Lepisosteus oculatus: one gene and its partners. The protein of the gene in region 1 interacts with the protein of each later gene in a pairwise test. Links are inferred from orthologs where the notes say so. Each region holds a gene or a part of one and is shown on either strand. Other genes may lie near its edges.

Region 1 (11,027 bases):
CTACTTACATTTTAATATTTTGTATTTTTAATTGTTTTAAACACTTGAAACCTTTCCATTTGGTTTTGTGACACGTGAAATAGAGTATTTTTCACTAGTCCAAAAAACTACTAGAATATCAGAATGGTGGAATATGACCTTTCACCCCCCCAAAAAAAAACACTCACCTGGTCTCTGGATCCATTTTCAGCATCTTGTGTCGGTTCCGCCTCTTCTCCCACTGTTCAGCCAATCGGTGTCCTGCCACCTGGATCACCTGACAGGAAGGGGTGCCTTCTTGCCTGTTCCAGCCAATCAGGAGCCTGTAGCTCTGCAGCTGGGCCCGCCCCCCGCCAGAGAAGAGCAATGCAGACAGACAGGAGGGCTCCTGTACGTCTGTCTGTCCATCTGGGAGCCTGTCTGTCCCTGCACCTGTCTGTCTGTCCCCGCGTCCCCCGCCCTGTGCGCCCGTCTCCCCCTCGGGTTGGGGTACAGTGGCCAGCGCTCTGACGCTGGAGATGTGGTCAGCGATGATGGACAGCACTCTGACAGATCCACAGTCAGGCTGTACACCCAGCACTGTCAGGGTGGTGTCCTCGCCCCCCGTCACCAGAACCTCCCACCACGCCCCAGCCTCTGACCTCACTGCCCCGACCCGACACACGCACGCCACCCCTCGTCCGTGCACCCCCTCTTTCAGCTCCAGTGGCACCCCAAAACCCGACAGGGGGGGCCCTCGGCCGCGGGACAGGAAGACCCCTCCTTGCTTGATGAAGGCGAACCCGTCCCCCAGGCTCGGCGTCCAGCCGGGACCCGCGTTCGCCCTGCTGGGGGCGCAGTAGCTCCACGACCGATGGCCACCCCCGCACGGCACCGAGAGGAGGCGCTCGTGGCGCACGGGGTCCCACACCACGAAATCCACCGAGTGGAACCCCAGCACGAGAAACCTCCCCCTGGGCCCTCCGCCCCCCGCCGCCCCACTTTCCGTGGCTCCCCGCAGTCTGTCCCCCCCCCGGCCTCTCTCCTCCGGACTGACTCCCCCCCCACCCTCGGCGCGCTCTGTCCCGCCTTCTTCCTCCTCCGCTGGGCTCCTCTCCCCCCCCTCCTCCTCCTCCTCCTCCTCCTCCTGCGTCTCGGGGAACAGGACTCTCTCGACCCAGTCCATGCCCCGGCAGGTCCGCTGGGCCCGCAGAACCTCCAGGGTGTCGGGCCTCTCCTCCGCCTCGTCCCCTGACCGGACCCCCAGCACCCGGACGCAGCCGTCCCGCCCGGTGCTGTACAGCAGCCCGCCCTGCGCCCGGAGGGAGGTGACGCCCTGCTTCCCGTGCAGGCCGAACAGAACCGACACCGGGCCCAGCGGGGGCTCGTCCGGCCCCCCTCGCCCCTCCCGCGCCCCCCTGTACAGCAGGACAGAGCCCCTCCGGTCCCCTGCGGCCCACAGCGCCCCCCTGCCCGGCAGGGCGGCCACAGCGGTCAACCAGCGCTTGGCGCAGGCCGGCAGCAGGAGCGGGCGGAGAGGCCGGACCCCGAGTGCCTGCTGCCCCCCCCGCCCGCCGGCCGCACACACCTCCCAGCGGTACACCTGCCCCTCCAGCCCCGAGGCGAAGAGCTGCCAGCGCCCGGGCTCTTCCTCCCCGCCCCTCCCTCTCTCGCTGGCCCAGTGCAGGCTGTGGACTTTGCCCCGGCCCGCCCTCAACTCCAGGGCGCCCCCCGGCTGCTCCAGCGCGAAGACGCGGACCCCGCCGGCGAGGTTCCCCACCGCGCACAGCGCCGCGCCCCCGCCGGCCTCGGCGAGCTCCAGGACGCTGTACGACCTGAACTCGGGGTCCCCCTCCCCCCCCAGCGGCTGCCAGCCCTCGCCCCCGCCCTCCCCGCCGCTGTGAAGGTACACGCACCCCTCGTCTGTCAGGACCACCACACGCAAGTGCCCCTGCGCCCCGAAGCCCGCCAGGCGCACCACTTTGGGGGACCCTCTGCCTCTGAACCTCAGGTCGCACAGAGAGCGGCGTGGGGCAGAAGCACAGCCCCTCCCAGGTCCGCCCTCCCCCTCGCCGTCCCCCCCCCGTGTCCCTCCCTCTCCCCCGATCCGCCACACTCGAATCCCCCCGTCTGCCCCCCCCGTGGCAGCCCAGTGCCCACCTCCCCCACCCTCGCTGACCGCCAGTGCCCGCACCCCCCCCGCCCTGTGACCTTTGAACCGGCGCGCCACGCTGCCGCGGTGCCCGTCCCAAAGAAGGCAGAGGGAGTCCTCCCCGGCGCTGAGCAGGCGGCCCCGGAGCAGCCGGACCGCGAACACCCGGGCCTGGTGCCCGTACAGAGCCCAGAGGCGCACCGGGCTCTCGGACCCACAGCCCGCCGGCCCCCCCAGCGACCCCACCTGCCACAGGCACGCGCTGCGGTCGTCGGAGGCGGAGGCCAGCCACCCGGACTCCGGCAGGTAGGCGATTCCGAAAACGACCCCCTCGTGCCCCTCCAGGCGGCGCTGGACTGCGGGCCCGCCCCCGCCCCCCCCCGCGCTCTCGCCCTGAGCCGGCCCCCACAGGACCAGCTGGCTGAACACCGTACCGCCCACCACAACCAGACCGGCCCAGCTGGGCCCCAGCAGCAGCGCGGAGTACAGCAGGCAGCCCTCCGCGCAGCGCGACAGGGCCAGAGCGACCCGGGCCCAGGGGTCACACAGGACTACGGCATTGTGGGCCAGGGCCACGGCCAGGTGGCGCCGCCCTTGCAGCCAGTGGGCATCCCACACCCAGTCCTGCAGCTCCCACAGCGGACACAGCTCGGCCAGGCGGGGGCTTCCCCCGGCGCGCTCTTCCTCCCTCAGCTCCACCACACACACGGCTTTGCCCCCAAACACCGCCAGAAGAGCTCCGCCCTCTCTCTCCTGCGGAGCCACGCCCCTTCCTAGCCCCTCCCCCGGCGGCCGAAGCTCCACGGCTCTTTGGTCGACCTGCTGCCGCGGTGTCTCCTCTCGCGTGGCCCCCCTCACGCCCACCCCCTTGGTCCCTCCCCCTCCTTCATCGTGTTGCTGCGGTCTCGGCTCGGCTCCGCCCCCACTCTCCTCGTGTGGGCGTGGCTGCTGTTGGGACCCTCCCTCTCCGCTCTCCTGTCGCCGGGGGGCTGGTCGGATGCCATGGATGCGGTGGTTTCTGAGCACGCTCAGTGTGGCGCCAGGCTGCCGTGGGGCTGTGCTGGACGTGCGCAGGCTGTAGACAGAGAGGACCGGACCCTCACCTGTAAAGACAGCGGGCGGGGCACAGGGGGACAAGTCTCAGTTCGGCATGTCCGCATCCTTTTCCATTGCTATGCTTCTATTTTTTCTATTTGCATTCCTCTTTTTTAAGAAACCGGCGAACGCGGGGCCGATTCTGAAAGGGGAGGGAGAGAGATGTGACCACAGCGCAGACCAAACAGCTCCCACTGCCGGCGGAGAGAAACAGAGACAGAGGCGCCCTTCCTACTGCACTGTGACAGATACTCTGGGATTAGAGAAACATTCTCCCCCCCAAAACAACAGATCTAATCCCAGAATCCCCACACCTGCCAGAATCAGAACAGCTCCCAATCCTACTGGGAGAGGGAGGAGGGAACTCAGCTGAACTGGCAGCCCAGTATGTGATCTCCTGTCACAGCCTGAGGAGCAGTGAGCCTGTCTCCCAATTATGTTCTATGTCGTATGTAAATGTCTTCTGATGTGTCTTCATTGTAAATGTCTAATTTTTTATGTTAATTTGTTTTGCTTTGGCAGCACCGATTGTACTCACTGGCCGTGCCAATAAAGCACCTGGAACTGAACTGAACTGATGTGCCACAGCGCCCTGCCTCTGGAGGAGCCTGCTCTCTTCGCTGGCTCTCCCGCCTCACCTGACAGGAGATACTCCTCCCCCAGAAACTCCAGCGCCGTGACCGGGGCGAGGAGCACCGTCGACCTCATCCCCCGCGCGCCTGCCCTCCCTCCGAGCGGCTGCAGAGGAAGAGAGACCGAGAGGGAGAAGGAGAATCTTCGGCTGGAGGGCGTCGCCGACAGGAACAGCCGGTGTTACGTAATGCATGAGTGATGACGTCATAAACGAAAGGTCCAGAATACGGCCCCAGGGAATCGGCAGCCGTCTGGGAAATGTTGAGATTCCTCCGGTGCAGGGTTCTGCGACTGGACAGCAGAAATGCACGGATCTGATTTTTTCATTTATATTTCGCGTATTTTAGAGAAAATACATAATAAAGGCAAGAAGCAATTCACTATGGACTAGACCATCTGCCACGAATTCTTTGGGAACCCTTCTTCCTAAAGCACGCTCTTCACAGACAGAGCCCCGAGAGGCATCCATGCTCCTGGTGCTTGAAGTGATTAGTCAGCCTAATAAATGCAATAACTGGAATACACTAGACGATAAGTAAAAAGGTAACAGTAAAAGCAGTATCATTATAATCCATTAAACAAATGTAAATGGATTCTGTAAATGTCAGTATCGCTTAAATCAGTGACTGCTCCAGCTGTTACACTACATTTCCCAGAATGCTGCAGGAGGAGACCGTTTCCTTTTTCACCCGTGTGTGTGTACAACGAGACAAATACAAGTCATATCACTCATCGCCAGATCAACCACGACCATGATATTAATGAATTTAGCAGTTAAACACTTCAGTTTTTCCAATATCTCTCTACGCACACCAGACTATATCTTAATTATGTCAGACACCTGTGAAATGCTTGACGCGAGGTAAATCATCATACACTACTTATCATAGTGATACATTCTCAGTCAACACGTCTTCCTAAATAGCCCCCAGGCTACTGCGCCTGATTGCAAACCCAGAGCTGCCCATCTGGCAGTTATTTTAGCAGCTGTGGAGAAACTGAGAGACGGTCCCTCTCTCACACATACTTCAGAAGGGAAACTGCTCGGTTAGGATCCAGTGACGACAGCAACGGCGATGGCTTTGGACTTAAACGGAATAGCTTTTCTTCCTAAAAGCGACGTCTGTTTTACACTCTTGTGACACACATCTCTAAGCTACAGGACACACGAGAGCACATTCAAACGCCGTCCTCTACAAACGCTTTCCCCCTCCCGGCTTCCGTCCACACGTGGGTCCCGTGTCTCTCGGCTGTCCAATCAGAGAGCCCCACAGTGCAGTGTCTTCGCGTTTCCCGGGTCACTGTAAACCTGCCGCTGATTGGCTGGAGCGTTTCTTAGCGACGATAAAAATCATATTATTTACATGATTAAATACGTTAATTGACCTTTTTTCTCTTTTCAGTACCGCAATAAAGGTAATATCATGAACACACGCCACAAAGTCGGAACTATTAGGAACACAATATTTTAAAGTAAATATTAACATTTATCTTGTCTGATGTACTGTATCCATTTTGGCCTTTAAACTATTTCTATTTTCAAGTCAGAAGTGTCCAGTCCTGGTCCAAGAGGACACGTGTGTAGTTTTCATCCCATTTCAGCTCTTAATGGCCGCAGTCACCTTTACGTTATTGATTTAAATTGGACCGAGTTAGCTGCCTGCTCTTCAGGTGCTCCTGTAAACAACTAAAACACCCTCAAGACCACTGTTTTGTGGTTTATAATCAGTAATCTATGCAACAAATGTCACCCTAATATACTTCTTTAAAAAAAACGAACAAGAGCAAACACCAACCTACAGACGTGATCAAACTAAAAAAAAGTATATCCATGACGGAGAACTTGAGGCACTGTTTTACAACAAGGTTGGTAGGTGCCTGGAACAAGGAACTAGAGCTTGATGCTGATTCTCGGAGATCTTCCAAGACTGAAGTTCTCAACCTCGGTCCTAAAGAGGTGATCAGCTGATGAGCAACACACACAGGCGCTCGTTAAAAAAAATATATTTTTTCTTTCTCCAAAGGGCAGCACTCCTGAACGAGGGGTTTTCTGAACCTCAAAAAGTGGTACTGGGTGGGGAGCCAGTTTTAGGGTTTTAAAGAACTGAAAGCAAAGTTAAAATACGCCTTCAATAAAAATAGGACCAGGGTCATGAGTGCCAGCTGTTAGAAACGGTTGGATGAGATTCTCATCTCAAGTGAGCAACCTCCCCCCTCGTTTGTGATTCTTATTTCCCCTTTCCCGTCCTAAAATATATTTTTTAAAACACACACACAGCTAAATAATGTTATTGTTTCTGTTAAAATAGGAAGGGGGGGGGGGGGGGAGACAGACGTTAACATCGCTTTACACAGTATGCATGAATTTCTGCTCCAGTTGCAGGCGGACAGCGGCGTCTGCTGATGAGCTGCTTTCGGGGGCGTGCCCGTCCGGTCCATTTCTGCGTGCGTGCGCGCCCCCTGCAGTGTTTACAAGCGTTTCGGGCTGGCCGGCGGTTCAGCGGGGCAGGCAGGGAGAGAATCGGGAATAAATCAGTGTTTATCCCTCCCCCTGTAGAGTATACTAGGATTCCGGACTTCAGAGGGAAGAGTTACCCTCTTGTCCGCTTCCCGGAGCGCTAGCCTGTGAAGGAGGTGTGATTATTATTATTTATTGCACGGCTCGGCATGTATCGGTCCCTGTACGCGTTTCGCTCGCCGGAGCCCAATTCCCTGCCCTTCGCCGCCGGAGAGACCTTCCTCATCCTGGACAAGAGCAACCAGCACTGGTGGCTCGGGTCCCGGTCCAGCTCGGGGGAGACCGGCTACATCCCGACCTCGTACATAGAGAAGATTCAGGTGGGTCGCCACCGAGGGCTGGCTGGGGGGGGTACCCTCCGGCACCGCGCACGGGTGTCCGAGAAGGTGGGGGTGTCGGGCCAGAGCTGGGGTTCCGGGGGGGCACACGGACTCGTATTTAATTAGCTCGCTGTAGTTGTCCCGCGGGGTGTCAGTGTTATTGCTGTTGTTATGATTGTGATTGATTTCACCATGCCGGGCAGACGCGTCAATGCTGGTCAGGATGGCTGATGGAATCCGGTAAGATCTTGCAGCGCTGTGCATGGGATAATGCAGCACCCCCCTTCAAAAACAACACGAAAAAACAGCAAGCGAGCTGTGCGGTGAACCCCTAGTTTGAGTTACTGGGGGGCACCCCCCCAACCTGTGTTTGGGTCTGCAGAGCGTTAGCAGGGTCAGTCGGCACAGTCTGAGCGGTCCTCCCGCCGGCCCGGCTGCTGTCCGGTCTGTGTCCTTGCGCCGCAGGCTCTGGAGAGCAGCCGGGACGGTAAGCGAAGACGGAAGACTGGCGAGGGGCAAGTTCAGCATCCTGGTGTCGGTTCCCTCTGGCAGGTTTCGGAGTGAGGGACGGCGTCGGTGCTCAGCACAGCGGGCGAGTCAGGGTGTGGTACAGTGTCGGGGTGCTCTGTGTGGTGTTGGGGCTCGGGGCTCAGGGCTGCAGGGGGCAGTGTTTGGGCTCATGGTGCAGTGGGGATCTCAGTGCAATGTTGGGACTCAGGGTGCAGTGTCTGTGCAGTGTTGGGGCTCAAGGCTGCAGGGGGCAGCGTTGAGGCTCATGGGGCAGGAGGGTACTCGTGCATTGCTGGGGCTCAGGGCAGCATGGGGCAGTGTCGAGGCTCATGGTGTAGTGGGGTACTCTGTGCAGTGTTGGGGCTCAAAGTATAGTGGGGTGCTCTGTGCAGTGTTGGGGCTCAAGGCTGCAGGGGGCAGCATGAGGGATGAGCAGGTTACCCTAGAGGGAATTTCTAGAAGCCCATGCTTCTCAGCAGATGGACTTACGTTACGTCTGAATGAACAACTCCGAGGACAGCAGCAGACTCTGTAGGTATTATTTCCAGAATTCAATAACAGTTGTGCTCCAGGCTCAATCTCCTCTAATCTGACTGTGACAAACAGACTAGGAGGAGAGGATAGAAATCACATTTGTGCGAGAGAGCGAGAGAGACGGATGTCAAAGGCATTTGGGTTTTGTATATACCAGAGGGCGAGAGTCTCCCGGCGTGACGGCTTTGTGCAAAAGATTAAAACGTTAAACCCCGAGACGCTGAAGAGATTCCAGCAAATTCCTTTTTATTTGATATCTTCTGTTCTCTTCCACAAATTGCGTAAATAATCTCTTTTATCTACTGGCTCTTTAAACGCTGACGAAGAGCCGTAATCAGTGGAGTGCGAAGAGGAGATTATTTAGTCGCACTGTTGCGTGATGATTTAAAATCCACAGTTCCTGCGCTGCCTTGTTCATTTGCTGAATCATTGAGTTTTTGGATATTTAGTTATTTGCTCAGTAATCGGCAGTGTGGTTATTCAGTCCTGAATAATTCAGTTATTCACATTCATTTATGAATGTGGTCTGTTTTTCAAATAATAGCGTTGCTCAGTAATTCGATTAACTTGATTGCAGTCTTTGCTTATTCAGGTATTTAGCTGCCCAGTCTCTGAACAGTAAGTCATATTATCTCATCATTGTGCTCGTGGGCTGGCAGGTTTTTAATTAGGATTGATTAGGCAGCGCTAATGGCTTTCGGTTGAAGACTACAGCGGTGATTCAGTTTGTATCGATCCTCCAAGCTGTCGGCTGCCAGGTTAGTCCACTCAAAGCGATGAAGTAATTCAAGTTTTTTTTTATTGCAACTCTCTTGCTCGTGTTGTCAGCACACTGGCCACGAGTGGATGAGAGAGTGTGTGTTGTCCCCCCACCCCCAGGGGTGGAAAAACTAATCTGCCACATTCAGAACCGCGGACTCGCCCGCCCCCCCTCCCCACAACCTCTCTCTTCAGCATATACCTGATCCCAGAGGCCTGTGACTGGCTGTGCCCTTGTATCTCTATACCCCGTCTGCTCAGTGAGATGAGCACTAAATCCCCTCAGCACTGCCTAGCCTCCTGGCTCTCAACAGCTTCCTGTTTTCTGTGCTCATATTATAATGTGCTCCCTTTTTCATGCACCCTTGCTTCCTGGCTGATAAGTGGCTCTGAATAAAACCGTGCCCAGATGCACGAATGTCACTGCGCGCGCGTGCCATGAGCAGAGATCTGCTCCACAGCTGTCTAGGCCACAGTCAGCCCCTCGCTGTCTCCCCACAATGAGGTTATTGATAGGAAGAGCTGCAGCTGCTCTGTAGTCTGCAGCCCGTTCCTGTCCTGTCCTGTCCTGTCCCTCCTCTGGCTGACCCTGTCCCGTTGGCTACAGTGAGCTGGGCTGCAGCCGCCGATGGAGAACGGACTGGGAACGAGACCGGCTGGAGAGGAGGGGACGGGGGTTTTGCCGGGCTGAGCCGCCCTTCCTGGGAAGAGGCTGCAGTAAAGTGGGCTGGGCTAGTCTGCCCTGGACTTGGCTCTGCTGGATGGAGACTGGAATGTGAAGCTGGAGTGGACCGTTTTTAGACAGCGGGCTTGAAACGGCCACCCCCCACCGGCACAGAACCAGCACAGAGCCGACCCAGGCCTCCAGGGCCTGTGGTGGGCTATCTGTGTTGTGTTAATGTGACCCTGAGGCCCGGTATTTTTAGTGCTGGTGATTTGAGCTGTAGGGATTGCAGAGATTTCTGAGGCCCTGTGGGGCTGTGATGCACAGCACAGTCTATTTCAGAACGGGAGGATAATTAATTAATCCACTAAGGGGGTCCAGCAGCTCTGCCCTGCGGGAGACTGGTGGGCGGGTGGGTGGATAGGGAGTGGGTGCATGACGTGACGATGGTAACTTACAGTCGGCCTGCAGCTGAAAAGTAAAGCAGAGAGCTGAAGTCAAGAACGTGTGTTTGTCTGAATAAAGGTATATGAGAAAAGGATAAAAAAAAGATATAATAAAACCGAATGTGGTGTTGATACAGACAAGTAACACAGGAAAAAGGAGAGGCTGGGCTTTCCAGCTGTGCTCGAATGGAATTAATTTGAATTGAACTAACCTTCATTGCCCCTAAGGGAATTTGTCTTGCAGATCAAGAGCTCATAAATATATAACGTATACGACGATAATACAGTACAGCGACGGTACAATACCATAATACAAAACAAGATTCAACCACATCACTCGATATCGGAACTCTTCCAGTACCGAAAGATTGAAGAAACAGGCAACTGGATTGTAAACAGTCTACAAGCAATAATAATGAAAGAAGGTCCCTACCTGCCAACAATTCTTTCATTGTTCATCAACTGAATGTCTTTCGGCAAAAAGGATGTAAATGCTCTCTTGGTGATCTACAGGGGATCTGGCACCTGAGTGGATGAGAGGTCATCTAAGACCTCCTGTGCAAGATCAATTCTTGTCGCCGAGTCCAAGAAATGTGCTGGTAATCGTGCCCCTGGCCCTGATTGCTTTGTTCAGCTTGTTTTGGTTGTGCAAGGACAGGGCACCTCCCCCCCCCGAAGGCCTTAGGGTTAGGAGGCTCGGAGTGAAAAGTGTCAACGTTGTGCTTTCTGCATTAAAACTCTTCAGCTCCCTTGAAGAAAACTCCCCCTGTTGCTCCTTCACTCCGCCAGGGAAGGGATGGGCCTCGCACACACAGCTCAGCCCGTCGGACCGTGGGCGCGGCGCGGCTCTGCATGGCGGCTCCTGTGCTATGAGAGCTGGCGGTGGGGATTTACTTGCAGGCGTGAGCAGGCGTGAGCAGGCGTGAGCAGGCGTGTGCAGGCGCCTCTCGTGGGAGCCGAGCGAGACGCAGCTGGCTGCGGTTCTCCGGCCGGCCTGGTCAGCTGGCGGAGCGGCCGAACGCCAATGCGATGTGTCCGAACCCGCTCTGGAGCAGTTCCCGTATCCGTGTGGAGACGATAGAGAGTGCTTTTGAGGTTAAGTAAAAAAGAGGGTGTTTTAACACAAGGTTCGTTCAGCACACAGGTCAGCAGGTGCTGATCACCCCGTGATAGAACTGTGCCACAACGAGTTCCTTAACAGTGCCGCTGTGTGTGTGAGAGAGCACTTGTGTGCAGTGAGCAGAGTGCTGTAGTGCACTGGAGCCTGGTGGAGTGGAGAACAGCCCAGCTAACTCAAATGGGGTGAGTCTTTCACTCTGGCTTCGCACGGAGTGCACGTCGGCGGTGGGGAAGGGCTTCTGGAGCTGTTTTGCAGCCAGGCCAGCAGCATTGCGGTTCCCGGTCCAGGCAGAAGTGCCCCGCTGTTCAGCACGGGGAG
Region 2 (10,449 bases), on another chromosome or scaffold:
TCTGTCAATTTCGATGGGTCCAGAGGCAAAAGTGCCTTGCCTTGCAATCTCCGGGAAACCATTAGTAGCATGGTGAATCGGAGATTCTCAACCCTTACTTCGTGGGACTGGAAAATAATTTGTGATCGGATCAACGAAATGCTTCGTAGAAGGAGGCGCTCTTTTCCTCTAGTCTAACAGTCTGTCCACAAACAAAACATTCGTGTGAGACAAGAGGAATTGAAAAAAAACAATTACTTTTGTCAATGGAAACCAGTGTGTCTCTCTTTGCTGGATGTCCCTCTCACTCTCTGCTGAATGAATAAAAGCATTTTATTAAAAACGCGTTTGCGTTTGTCTGGTATTTACTTTGGTCCCTTTTAACTGTTTTTCCATCTACTGTATTGCTTTGAGATGCCACTTTTAAAGGTGATATGAAAAATAAAGTTTTTTATTATTGTTATAGAGAAACATGATCAGATTTTCCCTGGTTCAGAAAAAAAGATCTAAAGTTCTACACCTAACTTTCTTAATTCGATGTATTTAAAGCAGTGAACTACTGTAGGTGTAACATAACATTCAGAAATACAATCGAGAATAGTTTTGTGGTGTTTATTTAGATTAAATGTTCCTAAAACGTATAACGTAACAAATTGAATGACGATTAAAATCTGTAATCTTTCCACTTGTACTGTATGTCATCGGAAAGTTTCTGCTTTGTGTAAGGATGGTATCAAAAAGTAATCTTAAGTGGTGAGAAAGCTGTGCTCAATGTACTTAAGGGATTTAAAAGTAAAAGGAGTTGCTTCATATTGCTTGACTAATTTTAAAAACTAAGTAATAAATCCAGACGTTCCCTCGGTGCCGCACCGGGTGTAAATATCAAAATATACATTCGTCCCTGGCAGAGGCCGAAGAGCGCCCAGCTGGGGTGCGCAGGGTGGGGTCTAGGAAGGCGTACAGTCTGGGCAGGTATAGATTACACTTTTCTTAAACGTATTTGAAAAATAAAAACGATTACAATCTAATCCTTCCACGTTTGATCCCAAAATCCCAAGAAAAATAAATCTAAACGGGTAGAAAGCTATGCTGAAAGTTTATTAAGATACTTAGAAGACAAAGATACTGTATCAATTTATGTTGCATTAGTCTGATTATGATGAAAAAAACACATATAATTAAACACGCGTTTGCGATTTAAATCAAAACACGATTTAAATCAATATAAATGTTTATATTGTAACGCATACTGTCCAGCCTCCATTTCTCTATAAAAATTTACTCTATTACACACACACAATAGAAGCAGGAAGCAGAAGCAGGGACCGTTGTCAGAAGGGAAGAAGGTGACTATTCATTGTTATCAAAAATGACTTAGAATCGATCATGTTGTGATATTTTGAAATATAAAAGTCAATTGATTGTCCATAATATTGCTATTCTATTTTTTCGAAGAAATGTTTGTTAAAAGAAAAGTCCAGCACCAGCTGCATTTGAACACACAACCCGTGAGTTAGTAATCGGGCATGTAGACCAGTGGGCTACAAGGGAAGTTGCATGAAGAAAGAGGCAAAACAGCCCTACATAGCCCTGTCGCAGTACACGAATATAATCATATCGTTATTAATTTCTTGAGATACGCGATTCCATATTATATTCCCTTTTAATCAAATTCTAAAAGTATGTTTGTTGACTCCGGTATCACGTTTGTTAAAGACTTCGATGCTTAAAATGTTTAGGGAGAAATGGAATACTGGTGTGTATGTTTTCTTTAAAGTACCGAGACCAGCCATATACTGTATGTTTAAATTCCAAAATTAATATTGTTTATGGCCTTCACACGCGTTGCAGTATGCTCCTATTCTTTTTATGCTCAGGCACTAAGATTTCCCTTCAGTGGTAAAATTCCATATAAATATTCAATACTTAAACGGGCACAGTTAAGACATTAAATATACATATACATACTGTATACAGTACAGTTTGCATATGGTAATATGTTTAGGTTCCTAAATCAATCTCTTTTATTTATTTCACATGCTTTTATGAGCATGTGAAAGGCATGGTGAATCGATTCTCAAAAATTACGGTACTTTGCATGATTGGAAACAAATGCGTGATTGCGAAATGCTGTGGTGTTACTTTTACAAAGAGGGTCAATGAAAAAAAGAATGTGGACCAGGGCAATACTTTGAGTTTACACTTACAGCTTGTCCAAAGTCATTCATTATTAATACTATTAGTAATATCTTCGTTAAAGACTTTGATGGCGACAGCTCAAACATGAGAGGTATTATAGGAGAATTTACAGTAACTAGCAGTATTTACCGGTAACTTGCGGTATTTACCGGAAACTCGCGGTAGACTGCGTACAACGTACCGGAAAATAATGCGGTATCGCCCGCGCATTTTGAATGGCTGCATCTGTAGTACCGAGCAACGGGAAGCGAGTTTAGATGGTTTAAATAGCGCTGCCTGCCGCATGGTAGAGCGTGTGCTGATGGATTATCACGTGCGGCGGCACTTGTTATTATGAACCCGCTGCTGGCACTGGTTGGCTCTTTTGTGGGTTGATCTCTGCTGGCTGGCGGTCATGACAGTAGAATAGAATAGAACAGAACAATTCAGGGGGATGGGAAGGAATTTTCAGTAGCATGCAATGTTGTCATTGTTAAGGAACAAGTAATAGGTTTATTCCATGCAGAAAAGAGAAGAGAAAACACAATGTTTCATCTGTGAAGCCTTCTTCAGGTGTGAGGGTCTTCAGGTCAAAATGAAATGCTAGGAATTTGTAATGTAGGGTCCTCTGAACAAATTTAACTTTGATGCAGGACAAATTTATTTACCACAAGCAATACTGTAGTGGCAGTACAGTAGCAGATTGAAGATATGGTTAAAACATTATAACTTTTTACAAAGTATATAAACTTAATATAGTCTGAAGGAGCACGTAAAAACTTTTCCAAAAAAACTACAGTATGTAACCAAATGAAAGACTTTGATGTTTAAAATGTTTAGGAAGAAAGTGGAATACTGGTGTGTATTTTTTATTTAAACTACCAATACCAGCTATATACATTTTACATAATATGTTTATGTTCCTAAAGTAATATCGTTTATGACCTTCAGATGTGTTATGCTTGTCTTCTTTTTGTGCTCAGCTACTAAAATTTCCCTTTAGCTGTCAAATTCCATATAAATATTCAATACTAAGTGTATTAAAACATGCACAGAAAAGAGATTAAATGATTACATCCTTTCACTAACAACCAATGCACCAAGAGTGCCCCTGTCAGTCATTTTGGCCAGCCAAATCACGTACCACGGTACACCGCAGTGAACTGTGGGTAATTGTACGTGGTATGGGGTTGTACTGTGCATTTTGAATGGCTGGATCTGTAAATCCTTAAATTCAACAAATATATTTTTCAATAAATAAAACACCACATTTTTAAACAATTCTAAAACTGTTCCTATTATGTTATTATTTACACATTTATAGGAGACACTGGTCGCTAATAAAGAAGAAAATCATTAGAGACATAATTACATTACTAGAAACATTAGGACAGAGTCCCCTCTGTGTGTGTAGGTAAATAACCTCTGATTTATCTGCTTTTAAAAGTTTCCAGCATCTCCAATTTATACAGTACATGATTACAGATTACAAACATAAAAAGAAAATCATGTTTCAGCTATTTTCACTCTCTCAGAATTCTAAGAAAGATTTATGAAGACATGCAATAAAGTAAATCATATTTACCTTGAGGCAGACTTGTATTGTGAAGAAGATTAACTACATTTGAGCGGTACGAGAATGTCTTATCTATCACTGAACAGAGACCATTATCCTAGTGACTCAAGGCCAATATTTTATAATTCTAAAAGAAATCCATTGGTAGGCTTTTATATTGTTTTATCTGCTGAGGTCCAGTATCTTAACTGTTACCCAGTTTGCATTGAAATTGAAGGACATCGGAGCAGAGTGTTGCTGTGTGCTGAGATGAAAGGTATGGCCTTCAATGCTGTTTCTGTTTTTCTGCAGTATTCCCAAGGCAATCTAACCCATTCTGAAAGGCAGTGATATTCCAGAAGAATTCTCCTTTAGAGGATAGACGTCAGCCTGCATGGGTGTCATGATAGCCAGTTGTAGAGCACAATCTGCCATTGATTTAAAACAATTTATCTCTAGATTAGTGAACACAAGTAACAAAATCATTGGGGTGAATCAGACCAAGCTAAATCCTCTCTGCAAAAATAGTATTCTAAAGAAGGCTAACAGCATTGAGCAGTGTGTGGAACACTTCCTCCTCTATGAATCATCACTACTCCCATCTGCCTCTGTGCCCCCAGGTGCAACACCAATACATCTAGGATATTGTTTATCCCCCCTGCAATTTCAATTTAGAATAATGTAAAGCATCCAACCATTTTCTAACCGTTTCTTCCAATTCAGGGTCACAGGAGAGCAGGAGACCCCAGTAAGCAGCATGGGCAAGGCAGGGTATACCCTGGATGGGACACCAGTCCATCATACGGGTACACACAGACACAAACATAGACATGCACAAACTCAAACCAGGGCCAATTTTCCTAGAAGCCAATTAACCTCCCTGTGTGATGTTAGACTGCGGAAGAACATACAAACTCCAAACAGAGAGCAACCCAGGTTTGGAATTGAACACAGGGTCTAAGCGCTGCAACAGCAGCAATTCTAACCACTGTTTCGCCATCATGTCCTAATGGAAAATGTTCTTTCCATTTTCCCATGGCTTTCCTCTAGGTGCTTTGGTTTCATCCCACAGTCCAAAGATATACCTGTACTCTTAGGTTAATTAGCTTACAGGAAACTTGGCCCTGGTGTGAGTGTGTACGTGTCTGTATCTGTGTTTGCCCTATGATGGACTGGCGTCCTATTCTGAGTGTGACACATCTTGCACTTTTTGCTTGCCGAGAAAAGGCTACTGCTCCCTTGCAAAGCTGAAATGGTTGGGGTGTAATAATAATACATTACACTTTCTTGTTCTTGTTCTTGTTCTTGTTGTTGTTCTTCTTCTTCTTCTTATAGGTCTTATTTGGTTCAAATGTTTAACTTTATTGAATCCTTTTACGAAAAGAGTTTTCATTACAATAAAAGACTACAATTACTGTGTAGTGTGTTTTTCACAAATGAGGAAGAACACACTTTACAAGTACATGAAAGACAATATACAGTTTTGTGCTGATATGACCACTGAGTACAAAAATAAAGTTGATAAAAATATGGAATTTCAAACAGCTTCGGAAGTAAGCCGAAGTTAATTATGTTTGGTCATGTTTTCACCATTTGTGATACTCCAGCCTCAAAATGCCATATTCACTGTTTACTTTCCTTCCATGTGCTTTGTTCTTAGCAATTCATCAAAACTGATTTTTTTAAAATGATTTAACTAAAAGATAATGATTGCTCACTATTCTCTGTTTGATTTTGAGTTCATCAGAGCATTCATCAAAAATAATGCTAAAATATTTATGTTGTGTATCCTTATTTGTGTCTTTAACTTATTTTCCATTTAATAAATGTTTTCTCACATTCCTAGATGCACATGATGACAAATATGATAAATGAAGTCTGATGGTGCCCCGCATAATATGCGCAGATTCGAAGTTATCATTTTTCAAAATATTTTACTTAATCGAACTACGATTAAAGAAATACGCGTTGCTGTAGTTATTTTAACGTTTATTTTATGACCTTTTATATGAAATAGGGGTTGATATCACTGTAGGATGAACAAGGATGGCACTGATCCAGCACGACTCCTCCCTCCGAAACCGTCAGTCAGACATACCAGAGACATAAACAAAAGTCTCACGCATTTTAACCAGATCATTCTAATCCAGCTCATCTGAGTGAAAGGATACAGTATACCGTTTACTTGTATACATCAGTGGGAGGTATATGCCAATAGGGACAAAGCTCTGACAAACAGCAGTTTTCTGGTGAAGGGATATGAAAAACTGAACAAGTCTCAAGTCTGCGATCTGAGTTACATTTTTTTTCCTGAGGTTTGTTAATTTGAGTGTTAATCCCCGTTTGCTTTATTTTTTTTTGTACTTTATTTTTTTCCTACCCGTCGGCCTTTGTATGAAGAAAGTTGATTGATATAAAGTTATTGAATCGGAAATATAATCGATTTGACTTCCCAATCCATAACCCTTTACTATTGATAGTTTGACAAAAGACGGGCTACCCTCCTTTTGGTGTACTTTAATGAGATGATGCTTTGATGGTTCTGGGACTCACAGACGGTTCCAGGGGCCAGGACAGCTTTCAGAACCAGTATGTAAAATTTTAATAAAATACAGAGACTCCACGAAGAAGGTGAGGAACGTAACAGGAGCATCTGCCGCTGGTTTTATTTTCAACTATAAAAACCCTATAGATGATTCCACCAGCTAACATGCTAGAGGAAGACAACATAGAAAAAGAAAAGGAAAACGAACAAGAGCATGATCTGCCTCAATCACCAGCGTCTACTGTCAGCCAGCAAGAATCAAAGGTAATAAATGAAGTCTCTTCTTCGGAGGAGTTTTGTTTCTACCAGAACATGTTTCATTTTCGACCTGATCAAGGGGTATTCTTCATTTTATACTCTTAGCGAATCTCTGTAGTTCCAGACTTATAAAATCAAGTAATTATTCTACAACACAGTTTTGTGGAACAGACGACTGTTTAAATTACAGATTAATATTAACTAAATAATAATACACACATAATTCTAGCGGAATCTGGTCTAAATGTTAAGCATCATACTGTATATAGACATTCTGAGTAGCAACTAAATTCGTAAACAACTAATTATGCAACACCCATCAACACGCAATCTGAATTAAAATTCAGATGAAATGAAAATTTCTCAAGATGGCATTCATATCTTTGAATTGTCTGTTAAATGGTTACAGTAAGTGCATTTGAGATAATGACATTGTTTTCCACCTTGGCATGTTATTTTTTATTCATATTGAGTCATTCTTATGTTTCCGTGTGAATAATTAGAAGCCAGACAGGAAGTCAAAGTCTAAACACAAAAGCATTTTAGATGTAAGGCTGGTTATTACACTACTTTTAAATTAGTTATTGGTCACATGTCTTATACACTATGATCCTATAGTTTGAAACAAATTGAAAAAAGTATTTACAGTGTGCTACAGCATATGAAATAGAATTAATTTTATATCTGTCATTATCAAACTGTCAGACTAGCTTTAACAACAACTTTTAAGAAAGAAATGACTGCTAGCTAACATTAGCTACAGTAGATAGGTGTTGTAATAGTTAATGAAGCTAACAGTACTATATATTTTTCTTTACTATATTACATTTCAAGTTCTTATGTAATATTTATCCAAATGGGATATCCTTATGCTTTTAATGAGTCTAGTATGTTATAATTTAATGTTAAAATATTAGGGTTCACCTTTGTATTTCAAATTATTTCAAATCAGCCCACCAAAAAAAACTTTACCAAAGGTCTCCCTGTTGGCAGTTCATGTACAGTAAGTTTCTAGTTCAGTGACAATTTTCTGGGTCACCTATAGCCTTGAGTGTGAACTACAGTATATTGCAAAAAGAGCATTGCACTAGGTAAAGTTATTGAGGATTAGATTACACTAAGAACTATTTAAATAAGTTTTGTGATATTCTTTCACCAGCATTCACTAGAGATGTGATGATCTTTTGATCTAGTGAGTCCATGAGCTAACCAGTATGTAAAACAATCATGAGATGGAAAGTTCCAGGTGTGAACTACTTCACCTAGTATTTAAGCATTTACTGTTTTGTACTACACAGTGCAGCTGACATTAAAGTATAATAGGCTGAACTAATGAACTACTAATTTGTAAAGCTGGACTCTTCTAGTACAATTGTTTAAGTTGCTAGTAAAAGTACTAAGATTAAATAAGTCAGATTCAGTCAAATAATTTAGAAACTCAGGATTTGTGACTAAACAAGGGGTTAATGTTTCTGTCTCAGCTCTTTTGTCCTGCATTTGATTTCTGGTTGTGGAGCCTTATGTGTGGAGTTTGCATATTCTCCTGTGTTCCTTTGTGTTCTCACCTGGTGCATCCTTTTCCTCCCACAGTCCAAAGACATGTTACCTGAGTTAATTGGCATCCCTGAATTGCCCTAAATGTGTGTGCACCCTGCAATGTACTGTTATTCCATCCAGGATATAATTGCATCTTGCATTCTTTGCCTGCTGGATTACACTCCAGCTCAAAGGCACCCTCTATGAATAAATCAGTTGCAGAAAATGGATATATGAGTAAAATCGAAAGGTGCCCACTTGCTCAGATGACACATAATGAGATGACCACATAACTTGCATACTATAATTTAATTTTGTAATTTGATACTGTATACTATTTTTACATTGTGCTTTTCAAAGGGCCATGAGGAATTGGTTGCTTGATATTCTTACTGTTGCCCAGACACAGTCAGGCATTCCTGTACAGTGCGTTCAATGAATAAAAGGCATGTTTTCAAGGTTCTTTTTATTCTTTTTCTCTTGTGATGAAGGATTGGTTTTCAGGATATCAAAATGACTGGTCTCCCTTTTAACAAAGGCGTTTTCACTGGCCTTTGCTAGTACTCATTTATTGCTTGTTTATTTATTGAAGTAACTTTGTCCTGAAGTAGTATTTGAAAAAGTAGGAAATCTTTAGCCAATTACAGTATTGTATAATATTCTTATCTTTCAAATTCCAGCTATATCACTGGTACAGCTTATACAAGGTCAGTTTTGTCCCTCAAACCTGTGAGGAGAATTTCACTTACCCATGCATAGAAAATTGTCTGCAGAGTATGATTCTCTGCTTAGTGTTGTTTTGGAATCACAAAGACCACGCAAATGACTCATTAAATGATGAGTTAGTGTCTCTAAGAATTTCTGAAGGAAAAACAGTCAGGGTCTTCAAAAACATGTAAGCTTGATGTATTTACTTAAAGATACAATAACAAAATTCAAAGTCAAACAAAACCAAGGTCTTTGTAATATTTTCTGTTTTTCTATTTCCTGCGTTTGTAGTGTACTGTATGTGGTTAAGATCATGGACTTGAACCATCTTCACTCCTTCAAGTACCCAAGCTGAACTGTCCAAACAAGAATAAAACCCTCAGTGACCAGTGTTTTCACATACTGGGTCTTGGATGATGTTACATAGGGGTTTAGAGGTGTGTCACTGAACATTAATCTCCTTTTCTTTTTCTTTGCGAACTGATGAATTAAGTTAGCCTACCTTAAGAAACTTTTCTAAAGTCCTGTATCATTTAAAATAAATGTCAAGGTTGTTGGTAATAAAACTTGATTCATTGTATCCCAGAGTGTCTAAATTGGATTTATGTCTGAAGTTGAAGAAAACAGAATGTCTCATTAGCTCCACATGTTCTCCAATTTAGCTTTTGTTCCCACACATATTACTGTGATTATCACGGTGGGAAGAAAGCAAATAACTTTCATATTTCTGAGCCATTTCCTTGAATGCATCAAGGTGTTTCTTGCTTCAAGCTAAAATCATGACCTGATTATGAGAACATAATATAAATATTTGGGTAACATGCTAAAATGTAATTCATTGATCCAGGCTTTAAATATAAGCTGTTATGTGTTGCTGCAGTATGTGTTGCATAGAAAGGAGTATCTGTTTAGGTTGACCTTAAACTCAGAATACTTTGCAATTGAGTCGTGTAGAGTACTGTATATTGCTGTGTATTCAATTTATAGGCTACAAATTAGCTACTGTATTGGAATCATAATATTTGCTCATCATAAATGGCATTTTTAACAGAAATTAAGAGAAAGGTTTGATTCTAAACTTACCCACTTTTACTCTCTCACAGTAGTATATATATCACTTCCTGAACACCCCTTTGCACATCACTCTCGCCACCCCTTGCGAAAATGAGAGAGGATTTTGTCAGCCTCATGCTTGCAGTTAGACTGCCATTAGGCAAATTATGCCAGACAACCTCTAATACATTCCATCTCTGTATCACACTTACTAGAATCAGACTGAACTAGTTAAAAGCTAAATTTGGTAGATTTCCTTGTGGAATATTTTTGTTATGTGCTTAAATTTACAAATCCGGTTATCTTGCAGTAGCAGTATAGAATTGTAAAAACAAATATAACAATAGCTTTTTTCTACAATATGACATTGAGTATGCTCTCAGGACAACTGCTGCATTTCCTCAAAGAAAAGAAGAGTGAATGGAAACCTTAGTATAAAAAAGAAACCTACACAGTATTTGTCATCTATTTTAGCAGCTCTAACTGCATGACCATCTTTATTCTCAGTAGTAAAGGCTCATCGGTTTTAAAAACACTGAATGCAGCCTATAATTATCTATTGATACTTCTCTTCTACTTTCAGTGGTAATACAAGGTCACAGTCTGACAAAAGACAACAGTGAAATAATTTCACTCA
Region 3 (10,329 bases), on another chromosome or scaffold:
ATCTTTAACCCTTCCTTTGCGGCCTACGAATGCTGAAGCAGCTCCCTACTTAAAACTCTCCGTACTGTACATGCTGACATTCACCAGGGTAGTCTGCGCAAAAGTCCACCTGATGTGTTGCTCCTACTAACCAATGGTACTGAGGCTGGTGCTGTTTCCTTTCTGTTTCTCTCAGATGACGAGACTTGACATTCAGCAGGTTAAACTGCCTCGTTGCCTGTGCTCAGTAAGGTGATGAAGTGCTGAAGAATCTTTGCCACTTGAATAGGACAGCCATTGATGATCAGTTTAATAAAATTATGCCAAAAACATTTAACCAATACCCAAAACCCATACTCATACCAATACCAATACCCATACATATTTTTCTAAAAACACACACGGTGAAGTTAGTTTTATGTTCCACGTATTTTGTTAAGTAGATCACTTTGTGTTTCAGGAATACTCCATTTCATCCATTGTTACACTTCTGTTCAGTACAAGAAAAAGACAACCCCACTTACCACGTCACCCAGTGTACTGAATTGTAGGAAAAGACATGTCTATTAAAAACACTGACACACACACACAAAACTCAAAAAGCAAGTTTGGACAAATCCGTTTATTGTGGTCATGTCATTAGAAAATGATTTCCTTCAGTGTTGTTAAAATTTAGATATACGAGTAAGAAAATCATTTCTGCCAACCAAGAAGCATCAACATATGACATCAAAAAAAATTCATGCTTTCCTCGTGACAATTCCCCAATCCTGTTACCATCTGCCATAATTTAAGTGTCCCATGTAATTCAGTTCCACACAGTTCCACAACTGGGGACAGATCCTGAGCATTTCTTTCCGTTCGTCAAATGTAATTTTTTCTTTATCATGTGGAAGCCTATATGCTTGAGCAATGTAAAGGCATAAAATGTGTTTCAACAGAGTGACAGTAATAAATAACCCAGTGTAATGAAATTCAATAACTCCTTCAGCTCCCAATTCTTACACAGGGAAAAAAAAAACCAGAAAACACCAACAAAATATAGCAACTCCATTTGCAGCCCTTATAGACAAGTCAGCTTCTTGAAGCTCCTCGAGTGGTGCAGCTGTTCTGGTGCTTCAATGTTGTTATTTTCGCAGTGGCACAATGTTACACCTATTGGCACAAAACATTTGGAAGATTAGGAAAGGAAGCAACACAAACACCATAACATTTTGTTCTTTCTGAAACGCATTCTATTAGAGACGTCTGCTAAGAATTAAAACATCTATCACCAAACATCTCTATAACCAGAATCACCTTGACCCCCATTTTAAAAAACGAATTCAAGGAGTCACATAACTCAATGCCTGTGTGGGTGGCTGACAGCGCTTGTTTTTCAATGCTGTTTCTCAAAACGTAGGAAGGGCAGAGCTGATCAAACCTTATTGAGCGTCTTTATGCTAATCCGCATGTCCTGGGAAAAAACAACCTGCCCAGCTCCATACAAAACGGGTTTTGTTTTTTAAACCAACACTGTATTTTATTTGCTCAAAGTACAAACCCTGTTGAGGTTTCAGTGGGAACAACACCACCCAGGAATGAAGTGTACTGGGTGTTTTAGTCATAGTAAGATCTGGAGTAACTCACTTGGCTGAGGGACAACCTCCTGGCCACAGGACAAGGAGGCTGGGACCCCCATGCAGGGTGAGCAGTGACCAAGGGGCAACTGCAGATGTGGAGATGGGGTGGAGGAGGGAACATAAATGAGGGTGCTTATGTGGAGTATTTATATTTTTCTAACAGGAGGGCTTCAGGAAAGATCACCGACCCACCCTTTAATCACAGAACGACTGTGGCTTTCCTTTGACCGGGGGTTCTGGCTTCTGACCAATGAAATCCTGTCGTCGAGCACTGGGCTCGTTCCTCGTGTGTTAGTGGCAGGGCGGTTATTTTGATTTGTCTGGGCCTACGCCAAGAAATCAACAACGTACAGAGTACCTACTGGCATTTTTTTCCCCGGCTTGAATACTTAAGAATAAAACTGCAAGAAATTAAGATAGAGCATCACAAGAAGCCGAAGTGGCTGGCTGCACGACTGTTGTTAAATCATCGTTTTCAGACCCACCCCAGCAGGCCTCTTCCACTCCAGCGCTGTGGCGTCAGGCCCAGGTGCACTGTCTGCCCACTGCGAATCACAGTTATGCTCAGGGGTTTCTAAGGAAAAAGATTCACCAATGTCATTCAAGCCAACAATATACTTTTCTACAACTACGCGGTCATGAAGAACAGCGATCACTGAGCTGTACAGAGTGCAGTGCTCCAATCAACGTGTTTAAAAGCTCGCCTACAGGCCCACTGGGATGAAGACCTGCAGATGAGCTCAAAGGTTTCTGAAAGCAAATTCTTACCCCTTCGCTGTGCTGGACAACCATGGCGATGTTCTGCAGGTTCTGAAAGTTCACTGAATTCACACTGCCAAACTCAACGATCTCGTCCCCAACATGCAAGCCCTGTACAAGAAGGGGGGGGAGAATCATTTTAAGCCATTTCAGAGCAGGACATATTTCTCCAGATAAACCAAAAAAAAAAACAGCATTAGCCTCATTAGGGAAGAGACCAGCACCGTGTTGCATTTAAGATTTCTTCATAAGGTTCAAGAATTATTCAGATTTTAACACTACCAGTTTTTACTGTTATAACTGCCTAGTAAATGTACAGAGAGTAAAGATCCAGCAGCATAATTAAAAAGGATAAATCAGATTGCACACAACACAATGTCAGCCCACAGTCCATCAATCTACCGGCTCTGCCACTTGCTATCCATAAGGCTGGGGCTTATTTCACAACAAGGGCTAACGTTCCTTAAATCAATTCCCCAGACAATCAGGAGAGTCAAGAGTCAAGTCAGGGGTCAGCATTAATCTGGATCTGAGTTTACAGATTCCACAAACATATGAAGTACAACACTTCCACATCATGCAAACGCATGCATAGACAGAAAGGAGTTGCATTCTTTCAACATGCAGATGATTTGCAATTCATCATGCAACATCTGGAAATTAGTCTGCAGCGCAAGAATTTCCCAGCTCCTGCCTCCAGTCGAATATTTCCACGTTCTGCCCCCCCAGAGCCCCACAGGGTCCCAGCTAGCTCAGAGGACTCACGGCCAGGCTGGCTGGAGAGCCGGGGGTGACGGCGTCCGCTCTGGCGAAGGGCTGAGGAGGGCTGCGGGCCTGCTCCATGGCCTCCTCTCGCGCCTCGGCCTCGTCCCACGCCCTCTTGGCCTTCTCTCGGGCGTGGAGCTGGTGCAGCGCCTCCTCGATCTCCAGCATGATGGCCTTGTGGTCGTTCTGCAGGCCTGCGCGGGGGTGACACACGTCACTGCGTCACGGTGGGGACCAGCGCTGGCGCCACGCCAGCTGGAGGCTTCCCACACAATGCACACATGAGCTGGGCCGGGGGACAAGAGGCGGCTCCCAACTGCGGGACGAACTGAACCTCTAAATTAGACGGCCCGTGGCGTCTGGGCATCTTCTGCTGCTGCACTTTTGACAATCAATTTCAGATTCTGCTCAAGGCAGACACGACTAGTGTTGAGGCTAATTTGAGCATGGGCACAAGTAAAGGATAATACCACACTGAAAAAGTAGAAATAAGAAACAACGTTTCTGCTGTGGGGTCTTAAGATGTGAAGAGTAAAGTAGTGGGATTATAAAGAGCAGGGGAACAAGGCCAGAGCAGGAGAGAATGGGCTCACAGGGGTAAAAGCTGTACATCAATGGATAAGACTGTATACTGCATTCATTTACAGATTACAGCTGCTAACACCCCCCTGAGGCTCTTTCTCAGCTACTCCGTCTCCTTATCCTCCCGAAACGTTGCGTTTCGCTGAAGTAACCTTTCCGTGCTCCTCTGCAGCCGAAACACGCTGACGCGGCCGTCCAGAGAGGCAGCTGCGTCACATGGCTTAGAAAATAAGAGCTCTCTCGCTCTTTGGCCGTACGGTTTTCACACACCCGCACCACTCACAGGAGATGTTGTGTCTCGCCGTGCGGACCTGGAACACATCCACGTCTGCTCGCGGGTACCCTTCTACGTCAACGAGCGGACCGTCCATCCCAACGCCTTTTTGCTGTCGATGAAGTATTGGGATCACTCGTATTGCAAGCTCATCACGGTTGCATATTACAATAACATCTAAAACACCCGTTCGCACTATTTCTGTCAGGGGTCCTTGACGATAATCTACGCATAAAACTTTTCAAACGGTCGCAGAAAAAAACACAGGCCCTTTTAGATACACACTGCGTGTTATATTTTTTCTACAGCGATCTATGTGTTTTACGCATTATATCGTTTTCCCGTTATCAGAAAGTTCAGAACTTGAAAATCAAATACTACGACGAGTTTATTTTATCTCTGTCTAAAATACACAAGGTACACAAACCCAACTATGCAGACTCTGACTGAACCGATTTTTGAGTACACAATGGGATAATCTGAAATCTTACATCTTCCAGAACGTCGTAGTATGCTTTAATCTGTTCTTCAATTTCATCTTTCTTTTTGACGAGATTTTTAACATAATCAACCGTAAATGTGGAGTTATTGTGGTCGCTTTCTTCTGTCATCTTCAAACCGTGTCCGGACGTTTAACTGCAGCAACTACAACTACGGATCCTTTAAATGGACATACTCTGCTATTCCATGGAACGCGAAGCTATATTCAATCTTCAATGTTTTTTCAGTAATCCCCTGTAATTAAAATGTATGGAACGCAATTCCTTTGATGTCAGTTCTGCCCGGTTTTGCTCACAGGAAAACCACACATTTGAGTTTAAATTGATTTAGCAAACAGCACCATAACTTAATGAATTAAGTGTTTTATCTCTGAAAAGAAAACGCATCAGTTTTTGCCGTTCCATTTCGTTCCTTCTATGCACTGGCGTGTAAATAATTGCGTTTGAAGGAACATTTACCCGGATAGGTAGACCAAATTAATGAACACATAAATAGCATCTCGCATAATAAAAATTAGTCATTTTGCTTTCAACGTTTAATTTAAAAAAATGCAAGATAAGTGATAAGATGATCGTGAATAGATTTGCTGATGCTATAGTGAGATGAGGCCCGATATTCTTTACTGTGCGCATTTAAGACAATGTGTTCAAAGCGGGGGGTGGAAAGCGCTTGCTACAGTATATTTTTTTGTTTCCCTTCCAGAAGGCAGTTTTAGGGATAACCAATTGGAAACCAGGATCTGAGGAACTCCTCTATCGAATAACCCAACATGTGGAACCATTCAAGCATGAACTAACTAGCGCTGCAGCACTAGATTCACGCCAGCATGAATAAGCATTTTTGTGACCGACAAAAACGTTGTTTTGTCCTCGTGCTACATTTCACAATGAAATATACTTTTTAATACGTTCTGACAAACGTCTCAAAAAGGGCACCATCCAGCCGTCTGTGTATATTCACATACTGTATGACTGTCATAGGGACCAGTGATACATTCTTTAATAAAGTGTTTTTAACGTGTTATATTATACATAGGAACAGGTAATAGGTTTATTCCATGCTGAAATAATTTCTCTTTTCAGCATGGAATAAGCCTATTGTTCCTCTGCAGACTTCGCATGCTGACGCAGCTCCCCACCTGAACTTTATTATAGATATATTAGAATATATCATTGCCATATGCTATATGTATACATAATGTCAATGTTCCATTGTCTTATTGTGCTTAACTGAAATATGCGGTGCTTAAAATCTACCCCACTCATAAAAAATCTTGAGTGAGGGAGCCCCACATTACACCAGTCATTACTCCGGGGGCGTGGAGTGCTTCGTGTCGTCTTTTCGCTTAATGGTCTGAAGTTCATTGCATCCCCGGTTCGGCTGCTGCAAGAATCAACCAGCTAACAATGGTGAGATCACTTTATTGGTTTATAAATGACATTTTAGTAAGCTCTTTAACTACGCTTCTTCCCCACAATTTTCCACTTCTGTTTGATAGTCCCTTTTATTCATTTCGCACATTTTTCTGTTTCAGATGAGTCCTCGTGTATGTATCATGTGATGTATATGTATGGAGTATTTTGGCATATGTAAAACTGTATTTCTCCTTCTCTTTAGACTTCTTACACCGACAAGGGCGAAAAGGTACGTACAGTATAGCGTTTTTATTATAAGTTCTTACTCATTGAAGTGCCCTGTGGTCATGCCTGAAATCGTGCAGTAAGGGCAGCTCATTTTATATAAATATGTATTTTTTATGCAATAGGATATCTGGAAGAAGAGAAAACACCTGTTGTGGTTGACAAAGTCTATTATAGGTTGACAAAATGTGATGGGGATGTTTTTATTCCCATCACAAATATCCTTTTAAATTCACGACGTGTACTTAAATTGATTCGTAGACGCGATGGAGCGTATTAGCTGGAAATATGCTTAGCTTAAACTGTATTGTTTTTATGCTTATTCCTTATTAATGTGTTTATCTGATTATAGCATGAAAGAGGAAAGTTTATTTGTTTCGACCACATCACATTCTGGGTTGGCAACGCCAAACAGGTAAGCGTATTTATCCGACAGTTGAATAATTTTGTACTTTTGGTTTTCTCGCATCTTATTTTTTCCTCTCTCGAAATCACAGAGGTTTTCCTCTGGAAAGCTTTCTATTGGCTTTAAGAGAGGGGTGGAGTGGCTTCAGTTATTTTATTAAACCCACATTGATGCCTTCAGCGGTTTCATCTGACCGAGGGGCTTTAGTTTACAGTGTTAATCGAATTATGTCTTTAATTTCATTTAATAGACATACTTATGTCTACATGTCATTAAAACAATTTAAGTAGACAATGTCTTCCAACAAAGATTAATATCTTCCCTGAAAACGACGGTCCTTTTGTAAAAGTAATCTGAATAAATTAGAATGGGAAAATACAATGTACTATTAGAACTAGGAATCTTTTAATTATTCTATGTGAGTAAGTAAAGGTCTATTCAAAACTTCTCTGTGGGCTAAGATATTGAGTGTATTTTTTTTTAGTAGCATAGTTATGGTGGTTCATCCTAAACAGGTTTCTAATTTATTTTTATGTTAAAAATTAAAATCGTTTTTGACTTTGTTTCCAGCCTACCTGCAGCGTGACTTAGGGCAGGACACATATTGCCTGTGCCGTATATGGAGTGAACCTGCCTGCTTGCTCTCCTTTCTAGGCGGCCTCATTCTACTGCAACAAGATGGGATTTGAGCCCCTGGCGTACCGGGGCCTGGAGACGGGGAGCAGGGAGGTGGTGTCCCATGTGGTCCAGCAGGACAAGGCAAGCCCCCCTTTCCTGTGTGCTCTGCAGCTACAGTAGCTTCTGTCCAGTGACAAAGCCATCCAGGGGGCCAACAGCAGAGTATTGGACGCAAATACTAAAACATTAACAAACATTGACAGTTTTGTCTGATGTCTTCCTTGAGGTCACAATACCAAGTTTGACATCTTTGTTTTTTGCTGGTCGCTGTGGGTAGGCTCTTTCTTCTTGGTCCTTTAGAGTAAAGATAGGCCGTCCTTCCTCCCCAGATAGAGGTAGATTTTCAGTAAGGAAAGTGAACTCCCTCCGAGCTCCTAATTAACCTTAGGGTGTCCTGTCTAAAGAGCCATGGGGCAAAGGCCTTCATTAACTATCCAAGGAAACGTTTAAATAGAAATACACGGGGAGATTACTTTCAAACTGAAAAGGAGAAAAAAAAAAGAAGGAAAAAACACAACCTCAGGTGAACAAAGCCTCCAACAAATGCTGTTTGTTCCTCTTTCTTTTTGCTATTCAGTTTGGAATGAACCTTTACTGGTTCCTCTATTTCTTGTTTTTAAGTAGCACTCTCGGAAAACAAGCCGGTCCCTGAATAGAGGCTTTAATGGTATCGCCCCCTTCAGTATTCGGAAAGGTCTGATGAAGCAAAGCACAGTTATTGTGTGGGGGGGGGCTGGACATGTGTATATTCATTCTTTGTCATGCCTTCCTGCAGATCGTATTTGTCTTCTCATCTCCACTGAATCCAGGAAACAAAGGTAAGTATCTGGTTACGGGAAGGAGGTGGGAGGTGGGAAAAGTTGTAGTAAAGCTACAAACATTAGCAGGATTGATCTCCTCTCTGGCCCTGTGAGCCAAACCTCTGTGTTTAATCCGCTCTGCTGGAAAGACATGAAATGGTGCCTGTGACTCTGAGGCACTTCTTCTGCTGGGAATTGATCACGGCCGCCCTTGGCCATCTCTGGCTTTCGAGCCACGTGGCACCACTGCCAGACAGTGGAGAATTGTGCCAACATGGGTCCTATCATGGGAGAATTCAGCACAGTCTAGATCCCAAGAGGGTGGCGTCTCATCTTCTGTAACAGGCTCAGCAGCAAATGAGCCAAGCAACATTCACAAAGCACGCTGCATCTAAATGATTCTAAACACGACCTTATTCGTTTTCAGACGGCTGACTCTCTGCTGTGTTTTCCCCTCTTTTTTTTCTGCCTAGAGATGGGAGAACATCTCGTGGAACACGGAGATGGAGTGAAAGACATTGCGTTTTCAGTGGAGGACTGCGACTTTATCGTTCAGGTACTGAGCCCAGACAAGGGAACTGGAGGGAGTGCTGCTTTTATCCAGCTACCGGTTATCAGAAAAGGGAAGGATCTGAGCACATCATATTCAGCTCCTTCTTGAGAGACAGGAAAAAGCAACCTGCCTGCAAAACCGAAAAGAAAACTGAGACCGAAGATGATCAAGGACACTTATCTTTGCATATTTCGTGAATGTGAATTATTCAAAAGCACAAAGTCCTAAATATGTTGTACTGTAAAGTTGCTGTCATGTCACAGGCTGGGTCAGGTGAAACTGGTTTCATTCAAAAGGAACGTGCACAGGAATGTAAGATCCGTAGACTGGGGTGGGGACTGACAGGCCTCGATTAATGAAGTGTGTTTCTCATGCCTTCTGTCTGTCCTTTGCAGAAAGCTCGGGAGCGTGGGGCTGTTGTTCTGAAGGAGCCCTACACAGAGGAAGACAAATACGGCAAAGTGAAATTAGCAGTGCTCCAGACGGTACGTGAGGGCCTGCATTACAGGTGGTCGAGCACAGGAATGATGTGTAAAATGACACAGACTTCTAAAGTGCAGGGCCCTGCAGAAGATCCAAGTGTTCCCAAACCAAATCCGCTTGGAGACGTGGAAGATTGATTACAGACAACCCTGCTGTCTGTAGTCAAGCCCGAGAGAGCTCCTTGCCCCTGTGTTCTTCGATAGGATGTGGTGTCCATCCTGTCTCAACCAGCACACCTGACATTTGCCTGTAAAACACATTTTGTGAGGGAGGTACTAAATACAGTCTCAAGATTATTTCTTATGAGGCAGTTGGAAATACAGCCATGTTAAAATTCCCCCAAAAACAATAATGAGCTTGTGTACCAATTAACATTGAATAACTCCAAAGCTTACACCAGACTGACTAGGATTTGGAGCAACATTTACAGTATAATTAAAGTGATACGTTAAAGTGAGAGCAGACTGAAGTGTACTAAAACACTATGATCCAAGCTTCACCACACCACAGTTGAGTACATGCATTCTAGAGGTATCAGCATGGCAAAAGTAAGTGAAAACTGCCAGAACTACCTGCAGTTTTCTGGCAGAAAATTCCCAAAAGGAAATGAGGCTTGGTCTTCTCTGCTTGAAATTCTGCATGTAGCATTCCATTGTTAAAAGAATTGCTGTAATCTGACAGCTGGTAACGTGCGTGCCTAGTGGTGTCCTTCTCTCAGTTCATGGAGCTTTCTGAATGGGCGTAGTGAAGCATGAGGACTGACCCCTGGTGGCCGATGTCTCTGCAGTATGGGGACACCACTCACACGCTTGTGGAGAGGACGGACTACAGGGGACTCTTCCTGCCCGGGTTCAAGGCTCCTCTGTTCCGAGACCCCCTGCTGGCCAAGCTGTGAGTGCATCAGAAGGCCTGGTTGAATGTTGTTTTTTTCTAAACATGAAAAGTAATAAATAGGGATAAGTTCAGTTTTGTATGGATTACAGCTGGGCCTGTAGGATATAAAGCAAGTTACTCTTTATACCACAATAGGTGGCCCAAGCCTTAAAATGTCAAATGATGGAGATTTTCTCTAGAGAAAAAGCTGGTTGGATAAGGCTGGGCTAAGAGCAATGAAAGTCGAGTCATGCGGACGTCTTGTGGCTCTGTATCTTATTGTCAACCAAGGTGTTCTTTATATGATCCAGTTTCAATAAAGCAATTTTATTAAGGGTGGGGGGGGGGATACCACTGAGATCTGTTTTTTTAGCACACTCTCAAACCACGTCTGAACCGGAAGGTGTCTTGTAA

Evidence for each region.
Region 2: the proteins of nckipsd (region 1) and stac interact in binary tests that used the Homo sapiens proteins (3 or more experiments, as listed by UniProt). The link is inferred for Lepisosteus oculatus from reciprocal best matches to the Homo sapiens genes NCKIPSD and STAC.
Region 3: the proteins of nckipsd (region 1) and psmd9 interact in binary tests that used the Homo sapiens proteins (3 or more experiments, as listed by UniProt). The two-hybrid records come from large-scale screens. The link is inferred for Lepisosteus oculatus from reciprocal best matches to the Homo sapiens genes NCKIPSD and PSMD9.

Annotation. Positions count from the first base shown.
Region 1 is NC_090699.1:65,473,593-65,484,619, forward strand, and holds the start of nckipsd (NCK-interacting protein with SH3 domain), read left to right. Parts: upstream 1-6,288; 5' UTR 6,289-6,505; coding exon 6,506-6,676; intron 6,677-10,296; exon of another isoform or gene 10,297-11,027. Other genes in the region: tRNA (34-2'-O)-methyltransferase regulator WDR6, read right to left, coding at 168-3,213, 3,844-3,913. UniProt on the Homo sapiens protein: Has an important role in stress fiber formation induced by active diaphanous protein homolog 1 (DRF1). Induces microspike formation, in vivo. In vitro, stimulates N-WASP-induced ARP2/3 complex activation in the absence of CDC42.
Region 2 is NC_090705.1:25,709,493-25,719,941, reverse strand, and holds the start of stac (SH3 and cysteine-rich domain-containing protein), read left to right. Parts: upstream 1-5,806; 5' UTR 5,807-6,404; coding exon 6,405-6,521; intron 6,522-10,449. UniProt on the Homo sapiens protein: Promotes expression of the ion channel CACNA1H at the cell membrane, and thereby contributes to the regulation of channel activity.
Region 3 is NC_090717.1:7,043,224-7,053,552, reverse strand, and holds psmd9 (26S proteasome non-ATPase regulatory subunit 9), read right to left. Parts: upstream 4,644-10,329; 5' UTR 4,593-4,643; coding exon 4,473-4,592; intron 4,094-4,472; coding exon 3,991-4,093; intron 3,320-3,990; coding exon 3,126-3,319; intron 2,472-3,125; coding exon 2,370-2,471; intron 2,176-2,369; coding exon 2,087-2,175; intron 1,135-2,086; coding exon 1,107-1,134; 3' UTR 583-1,106; downstream 1-582. Other genes in the region: 4-hydroxyphenylpyruvate dioxygenase, read left to right, coding at 5,889-5,891, 6,100-6,126, 6,475-6,537, 7,183-7,287, 7,982-8,024, 8,480-8,562, 8,955-9,044, 9,830-9,933. UniProt on the Homo sapiens protein: Acts as a chaperone during the assembly of the 26S proteasome, specifically of the base subcomplex of the PA700/19S regulatory complex (RC).